3 linked regions of the Nothobranchius furzeri genome follow. The protein of the gene in region 2 interacts with the protein of the main gene of each other region in a biochemical or structural test. Links are inferred from orthologs where the notes say so. Each region holds a gene or a part of one and is shown on either strand. Other genes may lie near its edges.

Region 1 (6,862 bases), on a different chromosome or scaffold from region 2:
GAACCAAAAGGTCACCACTCGCCCAGGCATGACGGCTTCATTTGTGATTCCTCTCAATCCCAAATCTCTAGACGGCACCAGGACTTTCGCCGGGGAACGACCGTTATAGTAAACTAAATGATCGGCTTCACACGTCTGATGTGTTTGAGGCGTATTGTGAAGGACTGAAGGAAGTTCATGGTGAACGAGGTTACGGAGCAGCTCCTGGAGCTCGTTCTGGTCTCACAGGTCCTTGAAAAGCGGGTGCTGCAGCGCAGCAGCGGCTGTGATTCTGGTTGAAGGGTTCAGGTCCAGCAGCTGATCCAGGAGGTCGTAGGCCTCATCAGGAACGTTGTCCCAGCCCCGCTGGTCTCCTTCCTCGTCGCTGGGCCGTGTTGTGGGACCAGCTGTTTTACTGCAGGTTGATTGTTCTCCTGATCCATCTTTGCGTGTCCGGTCAGCGGCTTGAGAGGCAGGAGTCCCATCTCCAGTCTGACGCCAACTCTGACCCACGTTGACCTCTGCAGCTGGGGTGACATCATCATCATCACCCTCTAGCGTTGACCTCCTGCCTCTAAGCATCTCACACAGGGCTCTGAGGTCCTGACGAGGAAGCTCCCGACTGCACACCACCGCCTTCCCTGAAACAACAAGTTCCAACATGGATCTGGATCCTGAACCCCAACAACACCATGCTAGGTTTGTATTCAGAGACTACAGTGGGGCAAAGCCTCCAGCTACGCGTTCTCCCTCTGATGAAGATGAACTTTCATCATGGCTATACCTCAACTATGAGAGACAACATGAGAAAAAGCATCCAGGAAATAACATCGTCTGATTTTAAAGAAATTATTTGCAAATTATGTTGGAAAAAAGTATTTGGTGAGGAACAAAAGTCCATTTCAGTACGCCGTTGTACACCCTTTGTTGGCGATGACATGGGTTAAACGTTCTCTGAGTCTCCACACACTGTTGCTGGTATTTTGGCCCATTCCTCCATGCAGATCTCCTCTAGAGCAGTGATGTTTGGGTCTGTCGCTGGGCCCAACTCCCAGTAAAGATTTCCTGTGGAGCTGAGATCTGGAGACTGGCTAGGCCACTCCAGGACCCTGAAATGCTTACGCCACCGCTTCGTTACTCGAGCGGTGTGTTCGGAACAACGGGAAATCGCTTATTTTAATCTATGAAGCCAACACAGAAGTGACAAAGTTGCAGTTCCACACTCATCCACAAGGGGCTGGATCTAAAGCAGGGCAAACTTAGCCTAGCGAACTAGACCAAACTGGTCTAGGAACGCTCCACTGGAACCTCTGCAGCCCCAACAGCATTCTGGCTGGCCAATCACAGCTCTCTAGAGGGGTTTCAAACACAAAGAGCTGTGATTGGTCCATAATGGTGGGCCAATCATAGTGCTCTATCTGCTTAGTGAACAAATGACAGAGCTTTATCTGCTTTGTGGGCCAATCAGGGCACTCTATATGCCTGGTGGGTGGGATGATGCAACAGAGGGAAACAAGATGGCGACAGCTCGTTTGAAACGGCTTTTACATCCATGTTGGACTATTAGAACTCTGGCTTCATCAGAATCAGGAGCAGATAGATGTATTTAAGAGCTTTTTTAGAAAAAATGATGTGTTTTCCCCTTCTTCAACTGCGGACCGCCTCATTTACCGATAGCTGTTGCGGTGAGTATGTCACAATCATTGTCCAGTGGCATGCAGAGATCATTTGAAAGACAACAGTAGAACCCGCCCCACAACCGAGAGCCGTCAGTGGAGCGTGGCCAGACTACATAATACATTTATTTAGTCTGGCCTGCCAGGCTAAGGGAAACCCTCACCGACTCCCATGTTAAAGTGGCAGCGTGCAATCTCCTGGCGATAGGAGGCAATTCATACATTTCAGGGTAGCTTTACGCCCAATCGCCGTGACTGTTGCTAGGTACGGTAAATGTTACCTGCGGAGCAGAAAGAACGCAACCTCGGCGTAACTCAGACTTTGGTTAGTTCCACTGGGCCCTGTAGTTTCTCGATCTGCTCGGGGTCCTGCGCCTGCCGGTAGCGGCGTCAAACTACGGCAATACCGGTCAGTCAAAATATATTTCCTCTCCTTTGATTCTGTTCTTTCACATAGGCTTTGGAAAGAGCTTAGCTGTTTTGTTATTGAATCCATGTTTTTCATATCTAAGTGTTTTTGAACGTGTAACGTAACTTCCGTAAGTCGTACATCCTGCAATCACCTAATGTGACGCCATCGACAAGTACTCGACCCCGAGCCGGCCAGAAGGAAATATGGCGTCCCTTAAAGACGCTAGACCCACACGGTATGTACTTTAAACTTCATTTTTATGCTTATATGTTATGAAGCCACCAGACATCTTTTTATTCATCTTCAACAACATTTCGATGGAGATTAAAGGTAAAACAACACGTTGTCACTTTAAAAATGCCAAGTTCAAAGAGAAATAAACACGTTTACGGGACGGATTAAAAACCATTTCAGGATTAATAGATCTAGTTTAGCCAGCTTGTTCACGAGTGAGGGAAAGCTGGAGCGTGAGATCGACGGGTGGATTGGTGCTGCGTCTGCAGTGATGCGGGCGTTCCACCGGTCTGTCGTGGTGAAGAGAGAGCTGAACCAGAAGGCAAAGCTCTGGATTTACCGGTGGATCTGCGTTCCTACCCTTGGGACTCCCCGGAGGAGCTGGTCCAAGTGGCTGGGGAGAGGAAAGTGGGCCTCCCTGCTCAGGCTACTGCCCCCATGACCTGATCCCGGATAAGCGGCCGAAAATAGACGAGTGGAGATCGAGTTTAGTCACGACAACTCTGAATTATTTTGTAACTCTTCTATTTAGGTGTAATTAACGCTTTAATGATGAATAATTAGATTTGATTGACATGCAGCTGAGCGTCAGAGCTAGCATTAGCAGCTAGCTCTGGGGAAGGCCTTGGCTTCTTTGAGAGAAATAGGTGGTGCTACGTGCGGCACATACGGCTCGGGTTTGGGATCATCGTCACGCCGGAAGACCCAACCATGTTTCATCTTCAGTGCCGTTGCTGATGGAAGGCTTTCACTCAAAACCTGACGATACATAGCCCCATTCATTCTTCCCCTTACACAGACCAGTCATCCTGGTGCCTCTGCAGAAAAAACAGCTCTAAAGCATGATGCTTCCACCCCCATGCTTTACAGTAGGTATGGTGTTCTTTAGATGAAACTCAGCATTCTTTCTCCTCCAAACGCAACGAGTAAACAAGTTTTACCAAAATGTTCCGTTTTGGTTTCACCTGACGACGATATTCTCCCAGTCCTCTTCTGGGTCGTCCAAATGCTCTCTAGCAAACGTCACACAGGTGCGCGTGCACATCTTCCACTTTCTGACAGTCGCTCCCACGATGGATTTGTTCACATCAAGCTGCTTAGCTGCTGCAGATCCAGTCCTCCCAGCCAGGTGCAGCTCTACAGCCTGGTTTCTGGTGTCGGCTCTTTGTTCTTGGACAGTGCGACTGTTGGGTTGTGGACAGGTGTCTTTTATAGTGATGATGAGTTCCAACATGGGCTCGTTAATGCAGGTCTGTGAGAGCCACATATGCTGCTTGTTTATAGGAGACCAAATACTTAATTTCCACCATAATTAGCAAAAGAATTCTTTAAACATCAGAAAATGTGATTTTCTAGATTTGTTTTCCTCACTTTGTCGCTCGTAGTTTTAGGTATACCTCTGACGAAAATGACGAGTCTTTTTAAGAAGCAAAACACGTTCATACCGAACGTTTTAGCAGCGCGGATGGTCTCTCTGGAGCCTCTTATAGTCATGATCTGTGTCAGAGCGAGAAGGTCGTCACTGGCCTTAAAGAATGGGTACCGCCCACTGAGGAGGGAGAGCAGGATCACACCGGCAGACCACATGTCGATGGCTGCAGGGGAGAGGGAACAGTTGGGACACGTACTGGTGTTACTGGACTTTCTAACATCCCAGTAGCCTCAGCAGCAGAGCTACAGGAGAAGGCTGGAGCTGCTGACCTGTGCCTTGGTTGGGACACTTGGTGAGGACCTCTGGAGCTCTGAACCCTGGAGTTCCTGCTCTGGGAGCTACCTGCTGCTTCCTTCAGTCACAAACAGGAACACGGACACAAAAGCACGAATGAGTGATGGGAATGTTCTTTCTTTATGATGACGGGATGAAAGTGTGAAATGGTTTATGTCACCTGGCCATGCAGATGTTGCAGACGCGGTCGGTCAGGTAGCAGTTACAGGTGAGGCCCTGCTGTAAGCTCCTGGGGGCTTTCTGACTGCTGCTCTGGGCTTTGACAGGAAGTACGGCCCGGTGCGGCGCACCCTCAGTCCTCTGAGGCTTGACCAGCTTGAGATAAGGGATAAATGTGTGTTGTTTGTTAGTGCAGAAGCAAATTTATCAACTAGAAACATGAAGTTGCCATCTTAGAAAAACAGGAGAAACTATTTGTGTGATATGCTCGTCAGCCACTAGATGGCGCCCTCGGATAAGAAACACTGGAAAGAGACAGCTGGGTGGGATCCTCCTGAGGGCTTCCTCACCTCTTCATCATGAGCAGTTTGCTTCGTGGTGGACGGGACAAGCATGCGGCTGTTCAGATTCCTTTCTCCGAACACGGGTCGTGGAGCTTTACAGAGTCCTGCCAAATCCTGCATTTAACAAGAAAAGCCAGAAAACAGCCACCCAGTCACAGTGAGCCTTCTGCTCCACACTAGAGACGAGTGAGAAGGCAGACAAACATCAGCAAGACACCTTTGTGTGTTTTGTTCGTGAGCAGGAGGAGGCAGAACGAGCTTTTTTAACCAGAGACTTCCCCGGGGCTGAGGTGGAGGAGGTGGAGGGGGAGGAGGAGGGAGGAGGAACAGGAGGTGTCACGGCCAGAGGGAGTGAAGTTTTAGGAGGGAGTTTAGGTGGAGCTTTGCTCCGCCGAGCAGCTTCCTGTCCACCTTTCTGTCTCACCGCCTTCAGCAGCTGGATCTGGGTGTCGGCGGTCCCCTGAGCCAGGCCGAAGTCCACCAGGGCGTACCTGCACAGGTACAGGAGAAAACCACCGTTACAGAGCATCCACCGCTGTATTCTCCAGATGCTCTATAGGATCCGTAGAGTGACTCAGACTCAGGTAATGCTGAAACACGCCGGGACAAAGATCATTTAACTGGATGAACACGACTTTTACTCTAATCATCAGGATGAAACCAGGAAGTCCTCCAGAGGAAGACACACGTTTTACTCTTCCTGTTGTAGAGGAAATTGTTGGGTTTGATGTCCCGATGGATGATCCCAAACTGGTGGATGTGTTTCAGGGCCTTCAGCAGGTGGTAGATGTACAGATGGACCTCCTCAAACCTCATGGACCCAATGACATCCTGGGAAAGGTTTGGGATGAAATCAGAGGAACAGCAACAGAAACTCAGATTCTAGTTGCAGGGAACAAATAAAGGTTAGGAAGAAGGTGGAAGGTGACTGCTTACATACCACAATGGCTTGGTGCTCCATGTAAGGCATTACGATCACCACATGGTCCTCTCTCCTGAAGCAGTAGGTCACACCCATAACGTTCTCTCTGCCTCTGCAGGAACAACAAATGATCACTTTCTAGAATAGAGTGGTTTATCGATCCCACGGTAGGGAATTCACTTGCTGCTGCAGCACTTAGAGAAGAGGAAGAAAAGTAACAAGATTACAGGTAAACACACGTTATGGTAACCTTCAACCACTAAAAACAGTGAGTGCAACGGAAACTTGGGTTTCCAGAACTACACCGCTTCAGGGACACACAGATACTAATGTTCATCGGATATTGCACGAGTACTGAACACAAACTCCCCGCGAATAAATGGAGGATTCAATTCAGTTCAAGTTTGTTTATAAAGCGCCAAATCACGACAAGAGTCGTCTCAAGGACCTGCACACGGTAAACATACAGGTCAGGTCATTAAGCCAATCAGTAACAAGTTTCCTATATAAGGAACCCAGCAGGTCACATCAAGTCACTGACTAGTGTCAGTGACTATACAGCAATCCTCATACTAGGCAAGCATGTAGCGACAGTGGAGAGGAAAACTCCCTTTTAACAGGAAGAAACCTCCAGAGAATCCTGGCTCAATATAAGCAGCCATCCTCCACGACTCACTGGGGACGGAGAAGACAGAGCACACACACACACACACACACACACACACACACACACACACACACACACACACACACACACACACACACACACACACACACACACACACACACACACACACACACACACGCACGTTCTGAGATGATTACATTCACTATCACATGACTAAACAAATACACATCACCCCTCTCACCCTCTGAAGCAGATAAACAAATGGAGACGAGATGAAAAAAATTATCAGTTGTTAATATCGGCCCGGTTTTATGTATCGGACCGACGCCGATATGTTCAAAAATTACTAACAAAGGCCGATACCGATACTGATGCCGGTATATTGTCCATCCCTAATTAAATGATAAATGACCCGCACTTGTATAGCGCCTCTCAGAGTCAGGACTCCAAAGTGCTTTACACTACAGTGTATCATCCATCCATTCACACACTGGTGGTGATGAGCTACGATGTAGCCACAGCTGCCCTGGGGCTACTATTATACCTTACATTATGTCTCACTCCTGCGGGTCAAGACTAGTTATAGAAGCTTTTCTCCGAGTGATGCAGCTGCGGGTGGAGGACTCACCCCGCCACGGTCAGACACTGGAGTTCAGCAGCGATGCGGAGAGGGTGGCTGGTTGGGATCAGGTGCTTCAGAGCAAACTTCTCTCTCCTCCCATCTCTCAGCTGAGCTTCACCCAGATACACGGAGCTGAAGGTCCCTGGCGTGAGAACGTTTC
Region 2 (8,141 bases):
TGTGGCGTTAGCATGTTGTTCCTATACACATACATGTGTGGAGTTAGCATTTTCTCTTCCTACATGTGTGTCATTAGCATGTTGTTCCTATACACACACATGTGTGTCATTAGTATGTTGTCCCTATACACATACATGTGTGGCGTTAGCATGTTGTCCCTATACACATACATGTGTGGAGTTAGTATTTTCTCTTTCTACATGTGTGTCGTTAGCATGTTGTCCCTATACACACGCATGTGTGGTGTTAGCATGTTGTCCCTATACACATACATGTGTGGAGTTAGTATTTTCTCTTTCTACATGTGTGTCGTTAGCATGTTGTCCCTATACACACACATGTGTGGCGTTAGCATGTTGTCCCTATACACATACATGTGTGGAGTTAGTATTTTCTCTTTCTACATGTGTGTCGTTAGCATGTTGTCCCTATACACACGCATGTGTGGTGTTAGCATGTTGTCCCTATACACATACATGTGTGGAGTTAGCATTTTCTCTTCCTACATGTGTGTCATTAGCATGTTGTTCCTATACACACGCATGTGTGTCATTAGTATGTTGTCCCTATACACATACATCTGTGGAGTTAGTATTTTCTCTTCCTACATGTGTGTTGTTAGCATGTTGTTCCTATACACATACATGTGTGGCGTTAGCATGTTGTTCCTATACACATACATGTGTGTCGTTAGCATGTTGTCCTTATACACATGCATGTGTGTCGTTAGCATGTTGTCCATATACACATACATGTGTGGAGTGAGCATGTTCTCTTCCTACATGTGTGTCGTTAGCATGTTGTCCCTATACACACACATGTGTGGAGTTAGCATGTTGTCCCTATACAACCACATGTGTGGCGTTAGAATTTTTTCTTCCTACATGTATGTCTTTAGCATGTTGTCCCTATACACACACATGTGTGGAGTTAGCATGTTCTCTTCCTACATGTGTGTCATTAGCATGTTGTTCCTATACACACGCATGTGTGTCGTTAGTATGTTGTCCCTCTACACACACATGTGTGGTGTTAGCATGTTGTCCCTATACACATACATGTGTGGAGTGAGCATGTTCTCTTCCTACATGTGTGTCATCAGCATGTTGTCCCTATACACATACATGTGTGGAGTGAGCATGTTCTCTTCCTACTTGTGTGTCGTTAGTATGTTGTCCCTATACACATACATGTGTGTCATTAGTATGTTGTCCCTATACACATACATGTGTGGAGTGAGCATGTTCTCTTCCTACGTGTGTCATTAGCATGTTGTCCCTATACACATACATGTGTCGTTAGTATGTTGTCCCTATACACATACATGTGTGTCGTTAGTATGTTGTCCCTATACACATACATGTGTGTCATTAGCATGTTGTCCATATACACATACATGTGTGTCGTTAGTATGTTGTCCCTATACACATACATGTGTGGAGTGAGCATGTTCTCTTCCTACTTGTGTGTCATTAGCATGTTGCCCCTATACACATACATGTGTCGTTAGTATGTTGTCCCTATACACATACATGTGTGTCGTTAGTATGTTGTCCCTATACACATACATGTGTGTCATTAGTATGTTGTCCATATACACATACATGTGTGGAGTGAGCATGTTTTCTTCCTACATGTGTGGCGTTAGCATGTTGTCCTTATACACACACATGTGTGGAGTGAGCATGTTTTCTTCCTACATGTGTGGCGTTAGCATGTTGTCCTTATACAACCACATGTGTGGCATGTAGAGGTGGGAAAAATGATCGATTCTCAGATGCATCGCATTCAGCCGTGCATGATTCTGCATCAATGCAGCAACATGACATAATGAGATTTTCTCCCTATGTCTATGTCTATGTCTATGTCTATGCAGGACAATAAAGTTTTGAGGTTTTACAATTACTTCTGGGGGCAGAGTTGCAATGACATGCGCACTGCGTTGCCCTAGCGCCAGTTTAAAACAGAAAAGGCGGACAGGGACACAGGGCCAACATTACCAGTAATCAAATATGTACCCGTTACATTTAAATCGGATGTCTGGGCTAATTTCTGTTTTGGGATCCTGGATGTGAAAGAATCACTTAACACAGTATTTGTTTACTATTTTTAAGTTCAGTAATATTCTATCTTAAAGCTGCTCTACCGAAAACATTATTTCTTATATTATTTAAGTAATTATAGGCAGCACACTTTAAACATTATTGCTCACTATAGTGAATAGATGAATGTTCTGTTTTTCAGGGATTTCAAAATCAAAAAGAAATTGAAAACTATTCTACTGCTTTTACTAAGTAATGAAAACTTTTGTGTGAAGAATCGTGATTCATTTCAGACTCAAATCGAATCGTTAGGCAGATAATCGGAATCGGATCGAATCGTGAGGCAGGTAGAGATGCACACCACTAGTGGCAAGGCAGCTTTATTTATATAACACATTTCAAACACAGGGGCGTTACCATTAGCATGAAATGGCATGATAACAAACAGGTGGTGTTAGCATGTTGTCAGCATGACATGATCACACCGCCCATCCCTGCCGTGTGATTTCTGTCCAGTCCTCATGGCTGATGATGTGTTAACTCGGCCCCAAACACAAGAGAACGAACAACTGAAGGTCAAAAGGGAAAATGTGAAGCCTCTAACATCAACAGCAAGGGGGGAGAAGCTTCATCCTTTAGGTAGGTTTTCTTATTTGAGTTGTCACACTGAGCTCTATTTGGTGTTTTATTGGATTCAATTAAAGATCCTGAACACCCTGAAGTTAAGGAGCCTACCTTGGTCTGAGTCAGAGACTGGGATGGCATGGATTCTGGAAAAACAAGAGAATCTAAAATGCAGACAAAAACAGCATTATGACAAGACCACAAGGGCACTTAGACTGCTTACAAAGGATGATGTGGTGAGAGGCCAAGATCAAAATGCATGGAGCAGAAACGCCATTGTTCCTCAGTAAGCTGACCCAAGATCATATGAAGTAAGACCTGAAGGTCGTAAACTCAGAAGGTACCGTCATAATCTGCTGAAGAGCAAAGACGCCTTTTAGGAGGAACAATGTGGTGAGAAGGCAAGCTGTTGTGGCTCAAGCAGAGATGGTGCCTGCCATAGGAGGACATGAAAAGCAGAGGAAAGTGATGTCTCTCCAGGACCTGTGTTGAGGAGGTCAGCGTACCACCAGAAACCAGTCGGGGTTCATCTATTGTCGTATTTCTATGTTGAGCGTACTGCAGAGAGAGGGGTGAGATTCTTCTAACGCACGGTCGTGCACTCGAGCCTGCGCACGTGCCCAAGTGCACTTACAGAAGACCCGGAGACCGCAGATTCAGGCTTGTACTGTTTTGAGACAGCGACCTCTAAAGGATCAACGTGTAACTGCAACTGCAGATTCAAGCTTAACCGTTATTTATAAATAATATGTAATTGTCGGTGAAGCTTATTAAAATAGTTTATTCGTTGTTAACGCTTCAGTGAAGTAGTTCTCAGAATACAAATTTGAAAATTCCTGAGTAAATTTTAATAATAAAAGCTTTTATCATATTTATTTAATTGAAGTTGTTTGTAGAAACAAAAATAAAAAACTTTCCGATCGTACTCCATCTTGGAACGCTAGCTAACAGTGGGCGGCGCTGTCTCAAAAACAGTACAAGCCTGAATCCTGTGGGGCGCAGCAAACTTAGCCGCCCGCCTGCGCAGCGCTGGTGGATGTTTTAATTCCTCCACTAACTGTGTCGTCACACTGGGCGGATACCTCCGTCACAGATGGTCCAATAGCAGGGCGAGAAGCGCTGGACTGACAGCTCGCTGGTGAAAGACCGCGGGCCAGCTGTCACGGCGCGCGAAAGTGTAAACTTTGTGTTCGGTGAGCGGGTGAGGCGGGAGGAAGCGGAGCTGTCCGGTAAAACGCGGCCTAGCTGTTCGGTAAGGAGCTGCAGTAGAGTTCTTTTCACGGACACGTTGTTCTCGGTGTCGGTAGCGGCTGTAGCCGTTAGAGGAGCGGACGGAGCCTCGTCCCTGCCGGGAGCGGGCGGACCAACCGGAGCACAAAGATGAGCCTTGTCCTGTCTCACCTGCAGGTAAAGACGCTAGCAGGCGGCGTCAGTGGAAGGTGTACAGACAGGTACATGTGAGACAGGTGTGTGTTCAGCGTGCTGGAGGGAAACGTCACCAACAAGGTGCTAAGGTGCTGTTAGCCGCTTAGCTGCTAACACCGAGGAATCGGTTCTTCCGTTCACCTCGTTCTAATTCGGTAGAGCTCCGTTAAAAAGTCACATCAAACAGTCCGAAGGTCCGGTAGCCGTTACCGGACAGCTGGGCGTTCGGTCCGACACGGTTATCCAGCTGTGACGTTGATTCATTGTTTTACTGACCGAAGGCGCCATGAATCCGGCTAGCAGCTGGTCTGGGATCAGCTAGTCCGCCTTGACCCAGACCGTGTTTCTGATCAGGACTGGTCCCAGACCAGTGTCTCTCTGTGGCCCGGAAACCAGTCCGAACCAGGTCAAACGGCTCTGGTGTGAGAGGTGGAACAGCTACGGGTTCTAGACCCGGTTCTCACACACACACACACACACGCACACACACACACACACACACACACACACACACACACACACACACACACACACACACACACACACACACACAGGCTCTGAAGTCTGTCTCTCTTCAGACTGAGGCGTTGGCCCGAGCAGCACCACAGAGCCACTGGGACAGCGGGATGGGTCCTCCTGCAGAGGAGGAGGTCCCAGAGACGTCTGATAGAGGAGATGAGTGTCCAGGTGAGACAGACCTGCTGCAGGACGCTCGTGGACAATCAGGAGAAACCGTGGTCCCCTAAATCAGTTTTTCTCTCAGATTCAGATGATGACATCACAGTTCACAGGAAGCCTCGGCGTAACGCCATCAGAGACAGTGACAGTGAGGAAGAGGAGGCACCAAGACGCCTGGAGCTGTCTGAAGAAGCGGTACCTGCCTCTAGTGAGGACGAAGAGAGGAGGAATAAAGGAGGACAGAGGAGCAACAGAAAGGCTCGTGCATCTGATGGTAGCGATGGAGAGCACGAGGAAGAGGAGGAGAATAAAAGAGAGAAGAGTCAAAGGCATCGAAAGAAGAAAGAAAAACGCAGCAAAGTGGTGGAAAGCCTGAAAAGGAGAAGGAGGTCTGGTGGAGGAGAGGAGGTGAGTTCCGTCTGAAATTTTCATCCAAATAAATCCAGAAATCTTAAAAATAAACTGGTCACCTTTTGCTCTTTCCATCAGGACGTTCCTCTTCCTCCAGCGCTGAACGACAGCGGCTGTCCTCTGGGTGATCCAGAGCTGTTTAGCACCGGTCTGGAGGAGGAGGAGGAGGAGGAGTCTCTGGACGCCATCAGAGCTGCGGTCAGACAGAAAGTGAAGAAACACAAAGTAAGAACAAGATGTTTACGTCACTCTGACCCTAACTCCGCTCGTGTTCTGGATGAGAAGAGTCCGGACGTGTTTCAGGAGGAAGTTTTGACTAAACTTGTTAAATGTGACTGTAGGACCCCCTCCTGGAGGAAGAGGAGGAGGATGAAGAGGTCCCAGAGAAGCCCCAGCGAGCGGTAGGATACAGCACCACGTTAGACCAGGTAGACGACTCGGACTGAAGGTAGAATAAACTGATTGTCTCTGGGGGCTCCAGGAACGGAAAGCAGCTCGAGCCAGCAAGGAGGCGATGAAGCAGCTTCACAGTGAGAGCCAGAGGCTGGTCCGAGGTCAGTTCCCCTGGCTCTGCTCTGCTTTAGCTGCAGGGGTTTGATCTGCAACACGCTAAACGTTTCTCTGCGTCTGTAGAGTCGACGCTTGGGTTGCCATACCACATCCCTGAACCCAAAACCATCGAGCAGTTCTTCAAGAGGAGGACCCGGCCGGAGGGATCGGCCATGGCGCTGCTGAAGTAAACAGTAACAACTAGTAGCCCTGCGTTGGCGCGGCCCTGGGTTGGGTCGACGCGGCCCTGGGTTGGGTTGGGTCGACTCGGCCCTGGGTTGGGTTGGGTTGACGCGGCCCTGGGTTGGGTTGGGTTGACGCGGCCCTGGGTTGGGTTGGGTCGACGCGGCCCTGGGTTGGGTTGGGTCGACGCGGCCCTGGGTTGGGTCGACGCGGCCCTGGGTTGGGTTGGGTCGACGCGGCCCTGGGTTGGGTCGACGCGGCCCTGGGTTGGGTTGGGTCGACGCGGCCCTGGGTTGGGTTGGGTCGACGCGGCCCTGGGTTGGGTCGACGCGGCCCTGGGTTGGGTCGACGCGGCCCTGGGTTGGGTTGGGTCGACGCGGCCCTGGGTTGGGTCGACGCGGCCCTGGGTTGGGTCGACGCGGCCCTGGGTTGGGTCGACGCGGCCCTGGGTTGGGTTGGGTCGACACGGCCCTGGGTTGAGTCGATGCGGCCCTGGGTTGGGTCGACGCGGCCCTGGGTTGGGTTGGGTCGACGCGGCCCTGGGTTGGGTTGGGTCGACGCGGCCCTGGGTTGGGTTGGGTCGACGCGGCCCTGGGTTGGGTTGACGCGGCCCTGGGTTGGGTTGACGCGGCCCTGGGTTGGGTTGGGTCGACGCGGCCCTGGGTTGGGTTGGGTCGACGCGGCCCTGGGTTGGGTTGGGTCGACGCGGCCCTGGGTTGGGTCGACGCGGCCCTGGGTTGGGTTGACGCGGCCCTGGGTTGTGTTGGGTCAACGCGGCCCTGGGTTGGGTTGGGTCGACGCGGCCCTGGGTTGGGTCGACGTGGCCCTGGGTTGGGTTGGGTCGACGCGGCCCTGGGTTGGGTCGACGCGGCCCTGGGTTGGGTCGACGCGGCCCTGGGTTGGGTTGGGTCGACGCGGCCCTGGGTTGGGTTGGGTCGACGCGGCCCTGGGTTGGGTTGGGTCGACGCGGCCCTGGGTTGGGTTGGGTCGACGCGGCCCTGGGTTGGGTTGGGTCGACGCGGCCCTGGGTTGGGTTGGGTTGGGTCGACGCGGCCCTGGGTTGGGTTGGGTCGACGCGGCCCTGGGTTGGGTTGGGTCGACGCGGCCCTGGGTTGGGTCGACGCGGCCCTGGGTTGGGTTGGGTTGACGCGGCCCTGGGTTGGGTTGGGTCGACGCGGCCCTGGGTTGGGTTGGGTCGACGCGGCACTGGGTTGGGTCGACGCGGCCCTGGGTTGGGTTGGGTCGACGCGGCCCTCGGTTGGGTTGGGTCGACGCGGCCCTGGGTTGGGTTGACGCGGCCCTGGGTTGGGTTGACGCGGCCCTGGGTTGGGTTGGGTCGACGCGGCCCTGGGTTGGGTTGGGTCGACGCGGCCCTGGGTTGGGTCGACGCGGCCCTGGGTTGGGTTGGGTCGACGCGGCCCTGGGTTGGGTCGACGCGGCCCTGGGTTGGGTCGACGCGGCCCTGGGTTGGGTTGGGTCGACACGGCCCTGGGTTGGGTCGATGCGGCCCTGGGTTGGGTCGACGCGGCCCTGGGTTGGGTTGGGTCGACGCGGCCCTGGGTTGGGTTGGGTCGACGCGGCCCTGGGTTGGGTTGACGCGGCCCTGGGTTGGGTCGATGCGGCCCTGGGTTGGGTCGACGCGGCCCTGGGTTGGGTTGGGTCGACACGGCCCTGGGTTGGGTCGATGCGGCCCTGGGTTGGGTCGACGCGGCCCTGGGTTGGGTTGGGTCGACGCGGCCCTGGGTTGGGTTGGGTCGACGCGGCCCTGGGTTGGGTTGACGCGGCCCTGGGTTGGGTTGACGCGGCCCTGGGTTGGGTTGACGCGGCCCTGGGTTGGGTTGGGTCGACGCGGCCCTGGGTTGGGTCGACGCGGCCCTGGGTTGGGTTGACGCGGCCCTGGGTTGTGTTGGGTCGACGCGGCCCTGGGTTGGGTTGGGTCGACGCGGCCCTGGGTTGGGTCGACGCGGCCCTGGGTTGGGTCGACGTGGCCCTGGGTTGGGTTGGGTCGACGCGGCCCTGGGTTGGGTCGACGCAGCCCTGGGTTGGGTCGACGCGGCCCTGGGTTGGGTCGACGCGGCCCTGGGTTGGGTTGGGTCGACGCGGCCCTGGGTTGGGTTGGGTCGACGCGGCCCTGGGTTGGGTTGGGTCGACGCGGCCCTGGGTTGGGTCGACGCGGCCCTGGGTTGGGTTGGGTCGACGCGGCCCTGGGTTGGGTTGGGTCGACGCGG
Region 3 (7,520 bases), on a different chromosome or scaffold from region 2:
ATTAATTATTTTTGCCTGTAACAGGTTGCGAAATGGGGTCAAATACTGCAAAGTGCTAAAACTCCCTGAGGTATGTGTTTTATCTTTTGATTTCAGTCTTCCTGCAGATAAAAAGTAAGCTTTACTGAACGTGAGTATGTGTCTCGTATAGATTCTTTGCATTCACCTGAAGCGTTTTCGACACGAGATCATGTATTCATTCAAGATCAGCAGCCACGTGTCGTTCCCGCTGGAGGGCCTCGACATGCAGCCTTTCCTGGCTAAAGACAGCCCATCTCAAGTCACCACCTACGATCTGCTGTCAGTCATCTGCCATCATGGCACGGCAGGAAGTATGAGAATACATCATTTCCCACAAGCTGTGTTTCGTTTCTCTGTGGTTCACCAGACACTGACCAAGCACCTGCACGAGTTGCTTGATCTTATCAGTTTTTAGTCAGCAGAAAAACTGATCTTCTTGCATTTTCTCATCTGTTTTGTGTGCAGGTGGTCATTATATAGCTTACTGTCAGAATGTGATTAACGGTCAGTGGTATGAGTTTGATGACCAGTATGTGACAGAAGTCCACGAGACGGTGGTGCAGAATGCAGAGGCCTACGTTTTGTTTTATAGGTGAGCATAAAAGCATCGGATCGAAATGGGAACCGTCGGATCTTTGTTTAGGTGTGACCGTGTTTCTGACGTTTTAACGTAGGAAAAGCAGCGAGGAGTCGGTCCGAGAGAGACAGAAGGTGGTGGCTCTGGCCAACATGAAGGAGCCCAGCCTGCTGCAGTTTTACATCTCCAGAGAATGGCTGAACAAGTTCAACACCTTCGCCGAGCCAGGCCCCATCAGCAATCACACGTTCCTCTGTCAGCACGGAGGTCTGTCTCAATCACCTCTCTGTGGTCACAACTGCGTCTGGTGTAATTTACACAACACACACAGGAAGTTCACAAGAAGTTCAGTTATGTTTTCAGTCGAGAACTGCCCCACAGGGAAAAACCAAGCGTGTGATGGAGAGCGCTCCAACCGAAGGGAGTCATCATAACCGACCATTTACCTTAGAATAAAGTTTTAAATGTAAAATCCAGCCATAAAAAAGCAGCTTGTGTAGCTTTTAAATGTTTCAGGGTGACACACTTTATAATTATCTTACTGCCATTTACTGAAATGAATAACATTTCTGTAACGTCCTACAAGTAAATTACAATGTTTGATTTTGTAGTTAAGAATAGCTTATTTAAAGACACGGAGCTTTTGAGTTGTTCTACAGGAACCCAGATAAATATTTGCTCTAAACGTTGTTGTTGCTTTGCTCTCCTCGCAGGTATTCCTCCTAATAAGTACCACTATATTGACGATTTAGTTGTGATCGTTCCTCAGAATGTGTGGGAATACCTTTACAACAGGTAAATATTAGCCCAGTGGTGTACTGTCTCACGTCGGTGTTTTCCTCTGTTGCTTTTCTGTTTAGGACTTTTTTGAATCTCAGCAGAAAGAAAGTAGGGATTTTACCACCACCATTAGATTTAGGGTATGGGTGGAAATCATCAATGGTTGTGGAAAAATATCTTTATTTTACCTTTAACTCTACGCAGTTTAAATATTAGTGAATGGACACATTTAAAGAGCAAGTCACCCCCTACCAGAGTATTACTCCACTCCCACTTCCTGTTTGAAAAATGCAACAAATGCTGTTGCCTAGCAGACCGAGAGGACAGAGCCGCTAACAAATACACACACACACAGGCTCACAACGACATTGTGACATCATATGGTACCAGCTAACATTCTAGGGTACCTCTTAGCCAATAGCAATGGCAGATTTTAGTTCAAATGCAGTGCAGAGTTTTTACCTGACAACGGCACAACACTGACAGTTTTAGGAAGAAAATTAAAAATTTAACTAAAATGCACTAAAGTGCAAAACTATTGACTACACGTGTGTGCAGCACGATTAGACACGCATTTATATAGTTTATCCGGAAAAAAAATGGTTGAGTTGGGGGTGACTTGCTCTTTAAATTTGCACTCTGTAGATTGTGACTTATACACCAGTGAGTGTTTCGCTCAAGGGCACTTAGGTACACTGCAGAGGATTGACATGAAAATATCCAATCATTCAGTTAGAAGATGAACTCACTTCTGGGCCTAAATCTGCCCATTTTTACCTAAACATTCAAAAGTGCTGTAAATAATGTTAAATTCTATTAGAAGATTAAAGGTATTAATTGCATCTCTTGATTTAGGCTCTTATTTCCATTCTTTTCTTGGCCTAATCTGTTTAACATGACATCTGAAGCCAATTAAGACTTTCTGAACGTTTTAATTAAATCCATCCAGGGATATTTAGCTTATGAGACTCCAGCAGTTAATGCTAACATTTTCTCTTGTCTGATAATTGCATTAGCATCTGATGGAAGACGCTCGGTTTAGAGAAGTCTAGCAGCTCTACGTCACAGTGTCACTTAACGTTAATGGACTCACCCATCTTGACTCGCAACAGGGAAGGCTGTTGTTAGTTAAGCGTTCAGGAAAATGTAGAGAACGTCTCGGCTAGTAGAAGCTAACTGTTAGCATTAGCAACTCCACCACACAGCAGAACTCCTTCAGGCTTGTGGTGTTTATAGAGATAAAACATCAACCTTGCAAAGTGGCCGGTGGTTGAGTCGCGTTGCTGTTAGTCAATCAGAGGAGAAATGTACAAATATCAGGAAATAAACAGGCCCATTGGAGCTTTATTCCCCCAGAGAACGACTCACAAGTCATTCATTCTTACTACAGACAACTGCAAATGTATTTAAATATAAGTAAAGTTGAGCTAAATTTCACCATTTTCTAATAAACTTTAAAAAAAAACACTTAAGACGTTTCTTTCAGCAACTAATTTTATTTAACTTCAGTTCAAATTCAGAAAAAAACTATTGACCCCAGAGGGAAATTAAATGTGTTTATAACTGATAAAACAATAATAACAACAATAAAATACTACCAACAGACCGGGAGCAGGAGATCGACAGGCGGATTGGTTCAGCGTCTGCAGTGATGCGGACGCTGCCTTGGTCTGCCTGTCGATCTCCTGCTCCCTCCTTCCTAGGGCTGGACAATAAATCGAAAATGTATCGTTATTGAAATTTCTGACTCTTATCGAGATAATTGTTCCCATGTCAATACATTTGATAATAAAAAGAAAGATGTGCGTAGGTTAGCAACGTTCATGTCCCTTTAAGAAGCTGTACCACCTCAAGTCACATAAAAATGTCTCAACGTAATACATGTGACAGCCCCAGCTAGTGCATACCTGTAGTTATCGTCCGTTTATCGTTATTGAGGTGAAATCCTCAAAATATCATGATATTAATTTTAGGCCATATTGCCCAGCCCTACTCCTTCCCTCACTCGTGAACAAGGCCTGAGGAACTTGAACTCCTCCACTTGAGGCAGGACCTCTCTCCCGACCCAGAGTTGGCAAGCCGCCCTTCTCCGAGTCTGAGAACCATGGTCTCAGACTCGGAGGTGCTGGTCCTCATCCCAGCCGCTTCACACTCGCCTGCGAACCTCCCCAGCAACAGCTGTAGGTCAGAGCCTGATGAGGAGGACCACATCATCTGCATAAAGCAGAGATGAGATTCTCCTGCCACCAAACTGGTGGCAAACAACATGTTCTTTAAGTTGTTGTGGGTGTAAATAATTTATCTCGATTATTTGGTTCATGACTGCTTTAATGGTTGTTTATGGTTGTTGTTAAGTGCGTGTGTGTGTTGGTTTGAATGTTTTCAGTTTTGGAGGGGGCCCAGCTGTCAACCACCTGTACATGTGCGCCATCTGTCAGGTGGAGATCGAAGCTCTTGCGAAACGTAGGAAAACCGAAATCGACACCTTCATCAAGGTGAACGCCTGCTCTCCAAAAGGGTTCGGCTTTCTGTGTAAATGCATCTCCAGTGCTTTGTGTGAGAGCTGCTGTTGTTGTTGTAGTTGAACAAAGAGTTCCAGGCTGAGGAGGCGCCGACGGTCATCCTGTGTATCAGCATGCAGTGGTTCAGAGAGTGGGAGGCCTTCGTCAAGGGCAAAGACAACGGTAAAAACACCAGAGTTAGCTTAGAAATCAGGATCTTTATCTGTCTCTGTTTACTAAATGATGTATTTTCCTTTTCTCCCAGAGCCACCAGGTCCTATTGACAACAGTAAAATTGGCGTTATGAAAGGAGGACACTTACAGCTGAAGCAAGGTAAAACACTACTGACAGAGAGGATTAAACGTTCCTAATCTCTCAAGAAGATTCCTCTGGGATTTTCAGCAGGAACTTTTCTCGATAGGAACAGAAGAACAGAACATGGAAAACAAGGGAAAAAAATCATTGAGATTCAATGAATTTTAAAAATATAGTACAAAGGAGAAAATATGCAAATATACCAGATAATATTGCACATCATGTGACCCCCCCCCCCCCCCCCAAATACTGGTAAAAATTACTTTTGTAATTCAAATTCAATTCAAAGATACTTTATTAACCCTCTGGGGTCCATGGACGCGTGTATGCGTCTTTTGAACAGGTCTGATTTGGGACGCTGTAGCAGCAAGACTCCGCCTCCCTGAGTTTCGCTTTCAATTCAGCTTTAAAAAGGAGATTATAAACTACACCCCAGTTTTTAAATTTTGTTAATAGGCAACGTAAAAGTGGAGTTATACTAAGCTAAAAAACGACCTATTTTTAGACAATCTGACTTGTCAAAACAGCAGTTTAGTAATCCGTGAGAGGGAATGTGCTTGTGAACATAAAAAACCCCACAAAAGCTTTATGACACGTCTCTAAATAAAGTAAAGATTTCTAGTGCAGAGAGGAGACAACCCATAGAAGCACTGATTTGATCTCATTTCAGAGAAAAATAGAACAGGTTAGATGCACCTAATAAATAAAATCACTAACAAACTCAGGAATCTGTTTCTTTGCTTCACTGTTCTGGTGCTGAGAATATCACTAATGCGGATAAAAGGAGATACACAGATGAATGCACCTCTTATTTATTGTTTGGAGACTACATTTACTGCAGCTGGCAGAGGCAGAGATTGTTTCTATTGATACGCGGAGTTTACAGAATCATTTTAATCGGGGAAGACTGCAGGAGGGAGCGGTAAAATACAGGGGGTCCCCAGCAAAAACAAGAAACTTTACGAGTCTGATGAAACCCGCTGGTTTTCCATCAGGCAGTCATGGGGCAGCTCCAACGACCCAGTGGCTGTGCTGGGTCAATGTTATCGAGCCCAGTCCGGCTCGGCAGAGGGTGAACGAGCCGAGGCGACGTCGTGCTCTGCTTAAGAAGAAGTGTTATTTTCCCGCTTCAGAAGAAGCGTCCAACGTGTTTTTACGCTTTCTCTGAGACATGTCACGTTGTCTGTACAGGATCTGCTCGGGTGCAAGATTGGCTCGGGGTCCGTCGACTGCCGATGACGTCTAAGTAGTTGATTGGCTGAACATGAACCTTACGGAATTACGTAATCACGTTACGTTGTTATCACGTTACGTTGGTCCAGGCAAATCTTTCTATTGGAAAGATGGACAACTTTTACAAAGAAATCCATCATTACCTCTTTGAAAATACACTTTTAGCATAGAGCTGCATGTATATTAGGGCTGAACGATTAACTGCATGTGCAATTAAATTGCGATGTGACAAAAGGAGATTTTCTAGTCGCAAAGGCTGCAATTTGGCAGCGAGTGGTTAGCGCAATGCTAATATACGTGGAAAAACCCATAGGAATGCTAATGCTAATATCGCCAATTACATTATTACAAATTATGAATTAGAAACATGCCAAATGATTACATTTGGAGTCTAATAGAAAGTAAAAATACCATCAATCAAATAAGTACAGACAGGTATTTTAGTAAAGCCAGAAATCTTTTAACTCCAGAGTTTTGGCTAGCAGCTATGAGTGTAACTGAACTACGCATGAACAAGACGTCAAAACTCTAAACACAAAATACTTCAATAAACGGGACACACTTCTTTCCTGCATATATAATTTCACAGGTGTTGCTAATACCTGTGATCCTTCAAGGGATGTGCTCAAAGAGGAGTTCAACATTATGAATAAAATATAGTGTTTTATTTTACAAATACCATTATAAACACAAACTTACGTCTTAAGAAACATTATTTTAATAACGAAACTGCTAAATTCTTTCCAAGAGTATAGATGTGTAGTGGATTTTGTCCGAGTGGGTTTGCCGTACTTTGACGTCATCGGCAGTCGAAGGACCCCGAGCCGATCTTGCACCCGAGCAGATCCTGTACCGACAACGTCGCTAAGTTGTTAGCGCGCAGCGCTAACACTTCAATAGTGCAGCGTAGCCTGCTGGAGGTTTTAAGGGTTCAGATGAAAACACCCGACCTCTCATGCTGCTCACACATCGATCTTAAGTTGTCGCTGTTGCGCTCACATCGTAATACAGTATTAGATGCGGTTAAAGTCAGACATGAAAAAATAAATAAATTTTACTTGAATAAGTGATGATTAGCCTGGTGGAGGGAGGAAAACCTGGCCTAATAAGCACTGGAGGAAACCCTGTCAAGATTGTCAACACTCGTTTATCTTAATGCTGTTGAAACATGTAAACCAAAAAGCATTATATCCACCGCTACCTTTCTAATTTTAAACTCAGTAACTTATGCTGTAACTTCACCTTGCCCTGCCTGCTCCTCCTTGCTGCCCGCCGGCTGTGATCACAAGCGACAACATAGTAGTTCCCGCTGCTTCTTCGGGAAACAGCGCAAAAAAAATAAAAATAAAACTTGGGATCTTGTAGGCGTGGCGGTGGGATTTCAGCCGTGGCAGACCGTCACAGCCACGCCTATGTAAGGGAAACCCTGCTGCAGTTTAGTAGGCTTTTATTAGGCTTCAATAAAGGATGATGAGAAATGTCCACCAGGCAGTTAAGCTGTTTTTTGAACTGGAAGCAGAGGAAGTGGACAGAGACTCACAGCCGGAGTCTGAGGCAAATAGGGAGGATGTTGATGACGATGTGGCAGATCCATCCTTCCTCATAGAAGAGTTGGGTCATGATGAGGTAGAGGATGAAGGCAGAGATACAGCTCCTCGGACACCCAACAAGAAGAGTGGGTGGCGCCACGTAGTCGTCAGATCTCGATCTCCGCTGCGTGAGACAGAGCCACTCCCCACTCCAAAATGCAAGTACATTATTGTCAAATTAATAAAATAAGTATAAATTCAGATAGTCCAGGTTGTCCTGAAAAAAAAAAAAGATACCCCATAAGGCAATATTTATTGTTTTTATTAGAAAATACAAAAGAAAAACCAAAATGAGTCAAAAATGGTGATTTACACTCCGGACCCCAGAGGGCTAATCATTTTTTTTTAAATTTGTTATTTGCTATATTTATTCATATTTTTTATAAATGTACAGTCTAGATTACCATTCTAAATCATAAAAAAACATTCGTCATAAATGTTTGTTGGTTTCACAGTAAAATAAGCAACTTTTTTCCAATTCGGAGTTTATGTTTTTGAGTGAT

The links. The genes of interacting proteins can lie anywhere in the genome.
Region 1: of the proteins of claspin (region 2) and cdc7, one has a biochemical effect on the other in vitro, tested with the Homo sapiens proteins (3 studies listed by BioGRID, with this or other methods). The link is inferred for Nothobranchius furzeri from reciprocal best matches to the Homo sapiens genes CLSPN and CDC7.
Region 3: of the proteins of claspin (region 2) and usp20, one has a biochemical effect on the other in vitro, tested with the Homo sapiens proteins (2 studies listed by BioGRID, with this or other methods). The link is inferred for Nothobranchius furzeri from reciprocal best matches to the Homo sapiens genes CLSPN and USP20.

The regions. Positions count from the first base shown.
Region 1 is NC_091751.1:71,608,159-71,615,020, reverse strand, and holds part of cdc7 (cell division cycle 7-related protein kinase), read right to left. Parts: intron 6,845-6,862; coding exon 6,709-6,844; intron 5,565-6,708; coding exon 5,471-5,564; intron 5,362-5,470; coding exon 5,219-5,361; intron 5,022-5,218; coding exon 4,748-5,021; intron 4,645-4,747; coding exon 4,537-4,644; intron 4,343-4,536; coding exon 4,188-4,342; intron 4,086-4,187; coding exon 4,003-4,085; intron 3,897-4,002; coding exon 3,747-3,896; intron 621-3,746; coding exon 223-620; 3' UTR 1-222. UniProt on the Homo sapiens protein: Kinase involved in initiation of DNA replication. Phosphorylates critical substrates that regulate the G1/S phase transition and initiation of DNA replication, such as MCM proteins and CLASPIN.
Region 2 is NC_091759.1:26,751,206-26,759,346, forward strand, and holds the start of claspin, read left to right. Parts: upstream 1-3,912; 5' UTR 3,913-4,047; coding exon 4,048-4,074; intron 4,075-4,670; coding exon 4,671-4,779; intron 4,780-4,855; coding exon 4,856-5,178; intron 5,179-5,259; coding exon 5,260-5,406; intron 5,407-5,522; coding exon 5,523-5,582; intron 5,583-5,662; coding exon 5,663-5,735; intron 5,736-5,814; coding exon 5,815-5,917; intron 5,918-8,141.
Region 3 is NC_091746.1:62,088,065-62,095,584, reverse strand, and holds part of usp20 (ubiquitin carboxyl-terminal hydrolase 20), read left to right. Parts: intron 1-24; coding exon 25-70; intron 71-151; coding exon 152-332; intron 333-486; coding exon 487-613; intron 614-695; coding exon 696-865; intron 866-1,311; coding exon 1,312-1,393; intron 1,394-3,764; coding exon 3,765-3,873; intron 3,874-3,959; coding exon 3,960-4,062; intron 4,063-4,144; coding exon 4,145-4,213; intron 4,214-7,520.